Oryctolagus cuniculus: one gene and its partner. The protein of the gene in region 1 interacts with the protein of each later gene in a pairwise test. Links are inferred from orthologs where the notes say so. Each region holds a gene or a part of one and is shown on either strand. Other genes may lie near its edges.

Region 1 (3,807 bases):
CTGGGTTCAAAGTCCTGGCTCAGTTCCTAGTTCCGGCTCCCTACTAAAGCACACCCCAGGAGGCAGCAGGTGATGATGGCTCAAGTTCTTGGGTCCCTGTTACACATGTGGGAGACCTGGATTGAATTCCTGGCTCCAGCCTGACTTACCCCTGGGCATTAAGGGTATTTAGGAAGTAGATCCGTGAATAGGAGTACACTGCCTCTTGTGTGTGTAAACTTCTCTGCCTTTCTAATAGAAAAAAATAATTTTAATGTCTGTGTTAGTACAAAAAGAATTTTAAATCTATGCATAATTTTTCATGATATTCATTTCCACGAACTTTTTGAAGTACTGTCAAATTCCCCATTGTAAAGTTGTCTTTTAAAACCCTCTTTAATAGGCAACATGAAAGATTAAACCTTAATTTTATTCATCTCCATCTTCAAAAAAGGAACATAGATAGTACTTACATTTTAACCAAAGGAAAATATGTTACTGACAAAGTTCTTAGAAGACCCGGCCTGGATTGCTGGAAGAGGCGGGTGTCTCCCCCTGGTGATGCCCCAAGCACACGGTGCTGCTCTCTGCTGGAGGACTGTTGTCTTCTTGCAGAACGTAGCTTGTTAATTCTGTGTCATTCCTGGCTGAATGAGATTCATGCAGGCTCCTGTTTAAAATGCACAACTTTATTTCAAATGTGCATGTTTGGGAGTGACTTATGGTCAAAAGAGATACTTCTAATGCTAATAAAGCCATGATATAATTTTATTTGTGCATTTTCTTTCCTTCTGTTGCTATATTTACCACCTCTTTCCAAGTCAGAATTGGATAAACAACCACCACCACCACCACCCCCCAGCCCCAAGGAGCCTGGATAATTTCCATGCTATCAGGTCACTAGGCAAAACACACACACACATAGAAACTGTAGCTCTTTAAAAAACATATTCATTTATTCACTTATTTGAAAGGCAGAGAAACAGAGAGGGGGACAGAGGAAGAAATCTTCCATCTGCTGGTTCACTCCCTAAATGTTCAGAACAGCCAGAGCTTGGCCAGGCTGAAGCCAGGAACTCCATCTGGGTTCCCAAACATGGGTAACAAGGGCCCAAGTACTTGGTCCATCATCTGTTGCTTCCCTGGGAGCATTAGCAGGGAGCTGGATTGGAAAGCAGAGCACCAGGATTCAAACATGGGATGCCCACTTTGCAAGCAGCAGCTTAACCCGCTGAGCCACAATGCCGACCTCAGAATGTAGCATTTATCTTCAGGTGCGGGTGCCTTGGCCTTGTACCCTGCCAGGCTGTGACAGCTTCCGCATCTGCACAGGCCTTGCTTGCAATGAACTTGCTTTCCTTCTTCCCTTTGTTGCCTAGCCGCTGCCTTGCCACCTATCTGCAGAGGAAACTGGCTTTGGTCAGTGAGGTGTACAGGATGCAGAATAAATGGGAACTGGACCTCTTTGCCCCCCAAAGACTTGTAGTAGGCAGCATGTAGTAGGCACTTTTGTAGAAATGCCTGTTTCTACCGTTGTATTAAGGACTCAAATCAAAGGTATGACTGTGCCCTTTATCTGCTAAGAAAAACCAGAAGGCTGGGAAATTGTATCTTTCTATTATTTATGGACCACAAAAATAGAAAGAAAACACAAACCATGTTACAAGACAGCCCTTTCTTTTTGCTAGTCAGCTTGTTAAAACCATTTATTTGTGTTTTTCTTTTCATTTATTCTGCTTTGGTCCTAGAGAAAGGAGACAAAATAGAAAGGTTTTCAGAGGAGCCTCCATTCATTGAGGGGGTCAGAGTCTCTGAGATGCTCCTTGTTGAGTCTCCTGGTGATGAGTTCTTATCAGATAAGAATGGCGCCAGAAACCTCTTGTTTTGTGAAAACCACCTGTTTTGGATGTAGTTAATTAAACAAGGGAAGGAGTAATGCTGGAGATTATAAATAATAATAATAATAATAAAATTTGTATTGGATTTCATTTTCATTTTTAAGTCAGCTCAACTATAATACTACATCTGCTACTTCTAGATCAGGACAAAGTTATTGAAAGTCTTGACTTTAATCCTTTAAAGTCCCAAGTTTTCCATTCTGCAAAAATTTATTTCAGTGTTACTGTAACTGGTATATTTATTGCTCAGTCTAAATCTCTGTTAGTGTCTTATATAGAATGATAGGACATATCTAAGTTATCAGAATTGTATTTGTCCTCAAAGTTCTAAAACTTTCTCAAGTTGTTGGCCTAAAATGAAAATTTTTTTTGATTGTGTAAAATTTTAGACTTTGGGATTTCCCACAAATACCTTCAGTTCTGACTTAAAAAAAAAAAAAATCCCACCTTGTATGTGATGGTCCTGTGGGAGAACCGTAGCTGTTCACGATGAGGTTGGCATGCAGCTTGAATACTTGACAATTCATGAGCAACCCTAGTGCTTAAGTTCTTGTTTTACAATTTATATTGATTCCCATAAGAAAATTAACTAATTGCAGTTTTCTTTTTGTCCTTTTGCACCTCTGTTTGCTGCTTCCTGTCTCTCTCTGTCTCTTTCACATCAGTCACCTGGGCTTGGCACCGACTCATGTCCCCTGTCACCCCCATCAGCCCATCATACCCCTGCATCCTCTACAGAGCTGCGTCGGAGGTGTAAGGAGAAGGAGCACGCACTGCCAGGTTGCGAGGCGCCCAAAGCCCAGCACATGCGTGGAGAGCCCACCTTGGACCCTGATGGCCAAGGGAAGGCTTACGTGGGGGATCAAGATGTGGCTTTCAGCTGCAGACAGCAAACTGGCAAAGGGACCACCCTGTTCTCCTTCTCCTTGCAGCTCCCCGAGTCATTCCCCTCTCTCCTCGATGATGACGGCTACCTCTCTTTCCCCAACCTCTCTGAAACCAACCTCCTGCCCCAGAGCCTGCAGCATTACCTCCCCATCCGCTCCCCGTCCCTCGTGCCCTGTTTCCTCTTCATCTTTTTCTTCCTGGTCTCCGCCTCCTTCTCAGTGCCATATGCCCTCACTCTCTCCTTCCCTCTGGCTCTGTGCCTCTGCTACCTGGAGCCCAAGGCGGCCTCCTTGAGCGCCTCCCTAGACAATGACCCGAGTGACAGTTCAGAGGAAGAGGTGTGTACCTCGGCATAGAACACACTTCCCCTGCGTGTTCCGTGCTTCAGTCCGACACAGTGGTAGCCGGCTGCTGCGATACTGGTCCTACTTTCAGAGCCTCATTTATTGTCTGTGCCGATCCGTTGAGGTTTCTTTTGTGTGTTGGGGAGTCCAACCCGGGCCCCAGGGTTAGGCACAACACCATGTGGCCATATCGCTGAGTTCATTTAGGGGTAAAGGACTCAGCCGGAAGTCAATGTTAAAGAACCCATTAGCATTGTAAAAGATCAGGGCTAAATTGCAGGTTCTATGCAGTTATCATGTGACAAAGTAAATCACACCCAAGACACATGAATAACTTTGAACTGAAATGATAGCCAGGGAGATTTGGGAGGGAGCACCCCAAGGGCTGTGTCATCATTATCTGGGTAGTGTTCCAAAATTACAGCTCTAGGATCCGGGAATGCCCCACCCGTTGCCAGTCTGTCCCTGTTACTCACAGAGCTGTGTCAGATGCCCTGGTTCAGAACGAGTGTCCCACGGGATTTAAAACACCCGAATGATGTCTGTTGTTGGTAGGTCCAGAAACAGAACCAGGGAAAGCTGCATGCAGTGAGCAGGGTTCAAACCCAATCAGGACAGGACCTAATGCAGGCTTCCCTACATTATAGAACCAGGCTGGGATCTCATCAGTGCTAGCACTGGCGTCGCCTGTGTCAGAG
Region 2 (4,270 bases), on another chromosome or scaffold:
TGGTAAACCTGAGTTTTCCTTCACACTGCCCAACTGCTCCAGATGACTTAGACACATGGGCAGGGACAGTTTCAGACGCAGCTCCCGCGTCCCTTACGTAATCCTGTAACCCATTCAGGCAGGTATTGCCCCATTCCACGGATGGGGAAAGGAAGTCAGAGGGAAACCTACTTGCTAAGTCAACATAAATAGCTTTCAAAAAACATCCTTGTTGGGGCCAGCACTGTGGTGCACCGGGTGAAGCCTGCTGGCATCCCCCTGAGCACTGGTTCAAGTCCTGGCTGCTCCACTTCCGATCCAACTCCCTTGCTAATGGCCTGGGAAAGCACTGGGGGACGGCCCAAGTGCTTGGGCCCCTGCATTCTCATGGGAGACCAGGAAGAAGCTCCTGGCTCTGGCTGTTGCAGCCATTTGGGAGAGTGAACCAGTGACGGAAGACCTCTCTCTGCCTCTCAAATAAATAAATCTTAAAAGAAAAAAAAAAAAAAAAAAACCCTGATTGTACAATTGGTTCTCTCCTCCCTGCTCTGTCGAGGAGAGGAAGCACAGAGCAGCTTCCCAAATCCTGAAGTCAAATGTTTCCTGAAAGGTCTCCGTTCCCTACGGCTTCCTGAGAATAACCCAGTGGGAAGCCGCAGTTTCTTAGGGTTTTCATTAAAACCTGCCAATTATTTGCAATAAACCCGAGTACACATTCCACCCCTGCACTGTGATCCTGTATTATTTTAAAAATTCTTTCATTCCGCTGTTGTCCCAATTTTTAAAATGTGCGAGATCAATGCTTCAAAAAGACGAAAGTATCTCATGGATCCTGAGACCAACTGGAAACGGGAAGACGAGTGAGGCATATCCAGGGGTCGCGGGTTTGCATGTCTGAGGGAAAAGGAAATTCGTGTTTTCTGGACCCGTTCTTATCTGGGGGAGGATAAAGGGCTCAGCTCCACCTGGCTCCTCAGCCACCTTCTGCACTCCTTGGACAGACGCCAAGTGCACACTCCTCCCAGCTCCGAGGTGCACTGCAGCCTCTGTGTCATTGTGCGTGACATCACTGGGCTGCTATGGGTACAGGTGCGAGGTCACTCGCCTTCCTGTGAAACTCGGAACATGGCAGAATTAAAGCCTAAATAAAGGACACGAACCGGAGATATTCCCAATAGTGTTGAGCAGATATTAAAAGTGCGACTTGCATTATCAGAGCATTAAAACGTTAAGAACTACCAACTCTGTGGATGTATGAAAACAGCACCATCTCCAATTTCAGAACAATGACCTTCCTCAACAGGATAAAAAAATTTTTGTTAATATCTGTAGCTGGAGCAAGGATAACAGACCAGCCTTGTCACCTTGCTGCTCAAGAATGAACGTAACCCACACCGCTCTGAAGGTGCAGCCTTAAACCGCAGCCCGAGAGGCGTTCTAACCCTGTTACATAAGGCAGGAAGTGAAATACTAAGGCGGTGGGAGCCCTAAACCATCCGTTTTCCTGCGTCTCCTTCAGCAATAGCCCCCCTCCCCTGAATTCACACTGCGGGCCGGGGCGAGCTGGGGCTCCTGACAAAATGGTGCAGCCGGGGGCAGGGACCCGCATCCCGCACAGACCAGACCGCGGGGCTGAGCGGGGCTGCCTCTCCTCCAGGGCGAGGGGCAGGAAGCTCCGGCGGCTCCCAGAGCGAATTCCTGAGCAAGGGCTCGCTCCCCTGGCCGCGAAGTGCTCCCTGCCTCCACCCAGTCTAGGCTCTCTGCAATATGACAAATGCAGAACCTTCTGGAACGCCTGGATCCTGCCTCCCACCACCGCTTTGTTTGCAATATCAGATCAGACGGACTGTGTGCCTATATCTCTATATATTTTTTTTCAACTTGTAGGAATTTCAACAGACGCGTGCCTGTGTTCAAAGAAGAAACAGGGAGCTAAATTCTCAACGTTTATTTTCAGGGCGATACCTACCCTTTCCAATGCAAGAACACAAGGGGAAAAAAATGGAGATGACATATTGAGAACAATCAATGGAAACGCCAGCGAGACAAACGCCCCCCCCCCAAAAAAAAAGGGCAGGGGATGCGCTTTGGGCCATGGAGCTACAGCCTTTTGTTAAGAAAAACGTGAGCCAGGAGGTTTCGATTTTGCACCGCGGAGCCCAGGTTTTCCGGAGCACCTTCCCCCCCCCCCCAACCCCCACACCCCGGGGAGGGTCCAAGGGCTGGGGAGGGGGTGGCCACCCGGGAGACCCGCCGAGCGGACGGGAAAGGCGCCGCCCAGACACCAGGGAGAGAAAGAGGAACGGCGTCCATGCGGCCCCCCGCCCCCACGCCCGGCGGGGAGGAGGGGAAGTGGGGCACAAAGGATGCGCAGGGCCCCCCGCACACCCGGAGACCAGACCCGCAAGACCCCGCCCAGCGCCGCCGGGCCCCCCGGGCGAGGCCGCGTCCCCACCCGGGTCCCCGCCGCAGCCCCCGCGGGGACGCAGCCCCCGGGCTGCCGCCCCCTCCCCTGCCGTCGCGCCGGGCCTTGCCCGCCGCTGACCGCGTGCCCCCCTCCCGGAGGGACGGGGGAGCGTGGGGGAGGGGAGGAGACACTCACGTTCTTCATGGCCGCGGCCATGTCGTCGTAGCGCTCCGCCTGCTCGGCCAGTCGGGCTTTCTGCACCAGTTGCTCGCGGTCCACCATCTTCGCGGGCTGGGTCGGGCCGGAGGGGGACACCGGGGCGGCCTGAAGGGGCTCGGAGGGCGGCTGCGGCGCGGCTGGGGCCCGTGTGCCGGAAAGACCGACCCACGAGGCGAGAGGCTGAGGCGGCGGCGGCGGCAGCGGCTGAGGCGGCGGCGAGGAGGAGGCGGCACGAGCTGCGACCGCGGGACCGGGCGCGAGGCGGCTGCGGCTGCTGTGCGTGCCGCGGGCGGACAACCCCCTGCGGCCCCGCCCACGCCGCGTGACGCAAGCGGCCCCGCCCACTCACCCGCGCGCGCGCGCGCGCGCGCCCGCCCGCCCAGGCCCCGCCCGGGCATTCGCGCCGCTCGAGCTTCGGTCCCCCATCCCCCAGCTCGGCCCGCTGCGGTCTTGCGAGTGTCCTCTGCTTCCCCGCTGCCCCCCGCCACGCTCCCACCCACCCACCCCTTTTTTTTTTTTTTTTTACTGCACCCGGATTCCTTCGCCTAAGCCTCTCCAGACTCCCCTCCCCCCTTCAGGCCCCGGGCCGGCCGGGCCTAGGGCGCGCGTGGGCTCCTGGGAGTTGTAGTTCACAACGCCGTCCAACGGCGCATTGAGGAAACCGAAGACAAAAGGGCGGCCGAGACTACATCTCCCAGTGTGCATAGCGCGCAGGGGCGTGGGAGGATGGGGCTCCTAAACCGGCGGACACGGGAGACCTCTGGCGGGGACGAGGGCGGCAACGGTCGGAGCGAGTGCTGATTCACGGCCCCGCCCCATGTCCTCTGGGCAGTTACCCGGGGAGGGGCGGGGCCCCAGCCCAGACCCTGTTTTCCAGGCAGAATAGCCGGTCATGGCGGGGAGCAGGGCCCGGGAGAGGGAATGAGGGGGCGCGGACACGGTAGCTCCAGCCTGTCAGCATGGCGCTCCCCCGCGCGACGGCTGCCTGAAGCGGGGGACTCTCTGTCCCCAAGCGAGGCTCCAGGTCCGCAGTCCCCCTGGAGGCTGCTGGACCTGTCCGGGTGACACGTAGGAAGCGGAATAGCGGCTGGGCACCCTGGTTCACGTCCCCAGGGGACGCGTCGGAGCCCGTTCCTCCGCTCCGGGTGGAGCTGCAGAATTTTTTATCTCCATGACACTGCGGCTGGGGCGGGCCACCCCTCTGCCCCCACCCAGCACCTGCACCCTGACACAGGCTTATTCCTGGGTTCCACAGCGCGCACCCACCCTCGCCTGCCTGCTTTGCATCAGTCGTTCGACAGGTATTGAGCGCCTGCTATGCTCCCAGCAATGAACGAAGCAGCAAAAAAAAAAAATCCCTGCCCCACAAAACAAGCGAGATAAAAATCAATAATGTGGGTTAGAAAGCAAAAAAAGGGAGTCCAAGGAAGGGCTCTGAACCTCACATGAGTTTCTGTGAGGGGAATATTCTAGACTCTGCTAGATGTCGGAGGAACCTGTCCTGGCAGAATTTAGGAGGTAAGTGCTGCAAATACATAGATATATAGATTTTTTTTTTTTTTAATGATTCTTTCTGGCTGGATAGGAGCAGCTTCTGAAAACCTGCCGCAGGGAGGCTGCTGACATCCCCGACCCAGCCGTGGCAGGATGATAGGGCTTCAGGGC

Evidence for each region.
Region 2: the proteins of EPB41L3 (region 1) and YWHAG interact in binary tests that used the Homo sapiens proteins (3 or more experiments, as listed by UniProt). The link is inferred for Oryctolagus cuniculus from reciprocal best matches to the Homo sapiens genes EPB41L3 and YWHAG.

What each region holds. Positions count from the first base shown.
Region 1 is NC_091441.1:62,339,521-62,343,327, reverse strand, and holds part of EPB41L3 (band 4.1-like protein 3), read left to right. Parts: intron 1-2,542; coding exon 2,543-3,103; intron 3,104-3,807. UniProt on the Homo sapiens protein: Tumor suppressor that inhibits cell proliferation and promotes apoptosis. Modulates the activity of protein arginine N-methyltransferases, including PRMT3 and PRMT5.
Region 2 is NC_091450.1:44,225,860-44,230,129, reverse strand, and holds the start of YWHAG (14-3-3 protein gamma), read right to left. Parts: upstream 2,911-4,270; 5' UTR 2,669-2,910; coding exon 2,582-2,668; intron 1-2,581. UniProt on the Homo sapiens protein: Adapter protein implicated in the regulation of a large spectrum of both general and specialized signaling pathways. Binds to a large number of partners, usually by recognition of a phosphoserine or phosphothreonine motif.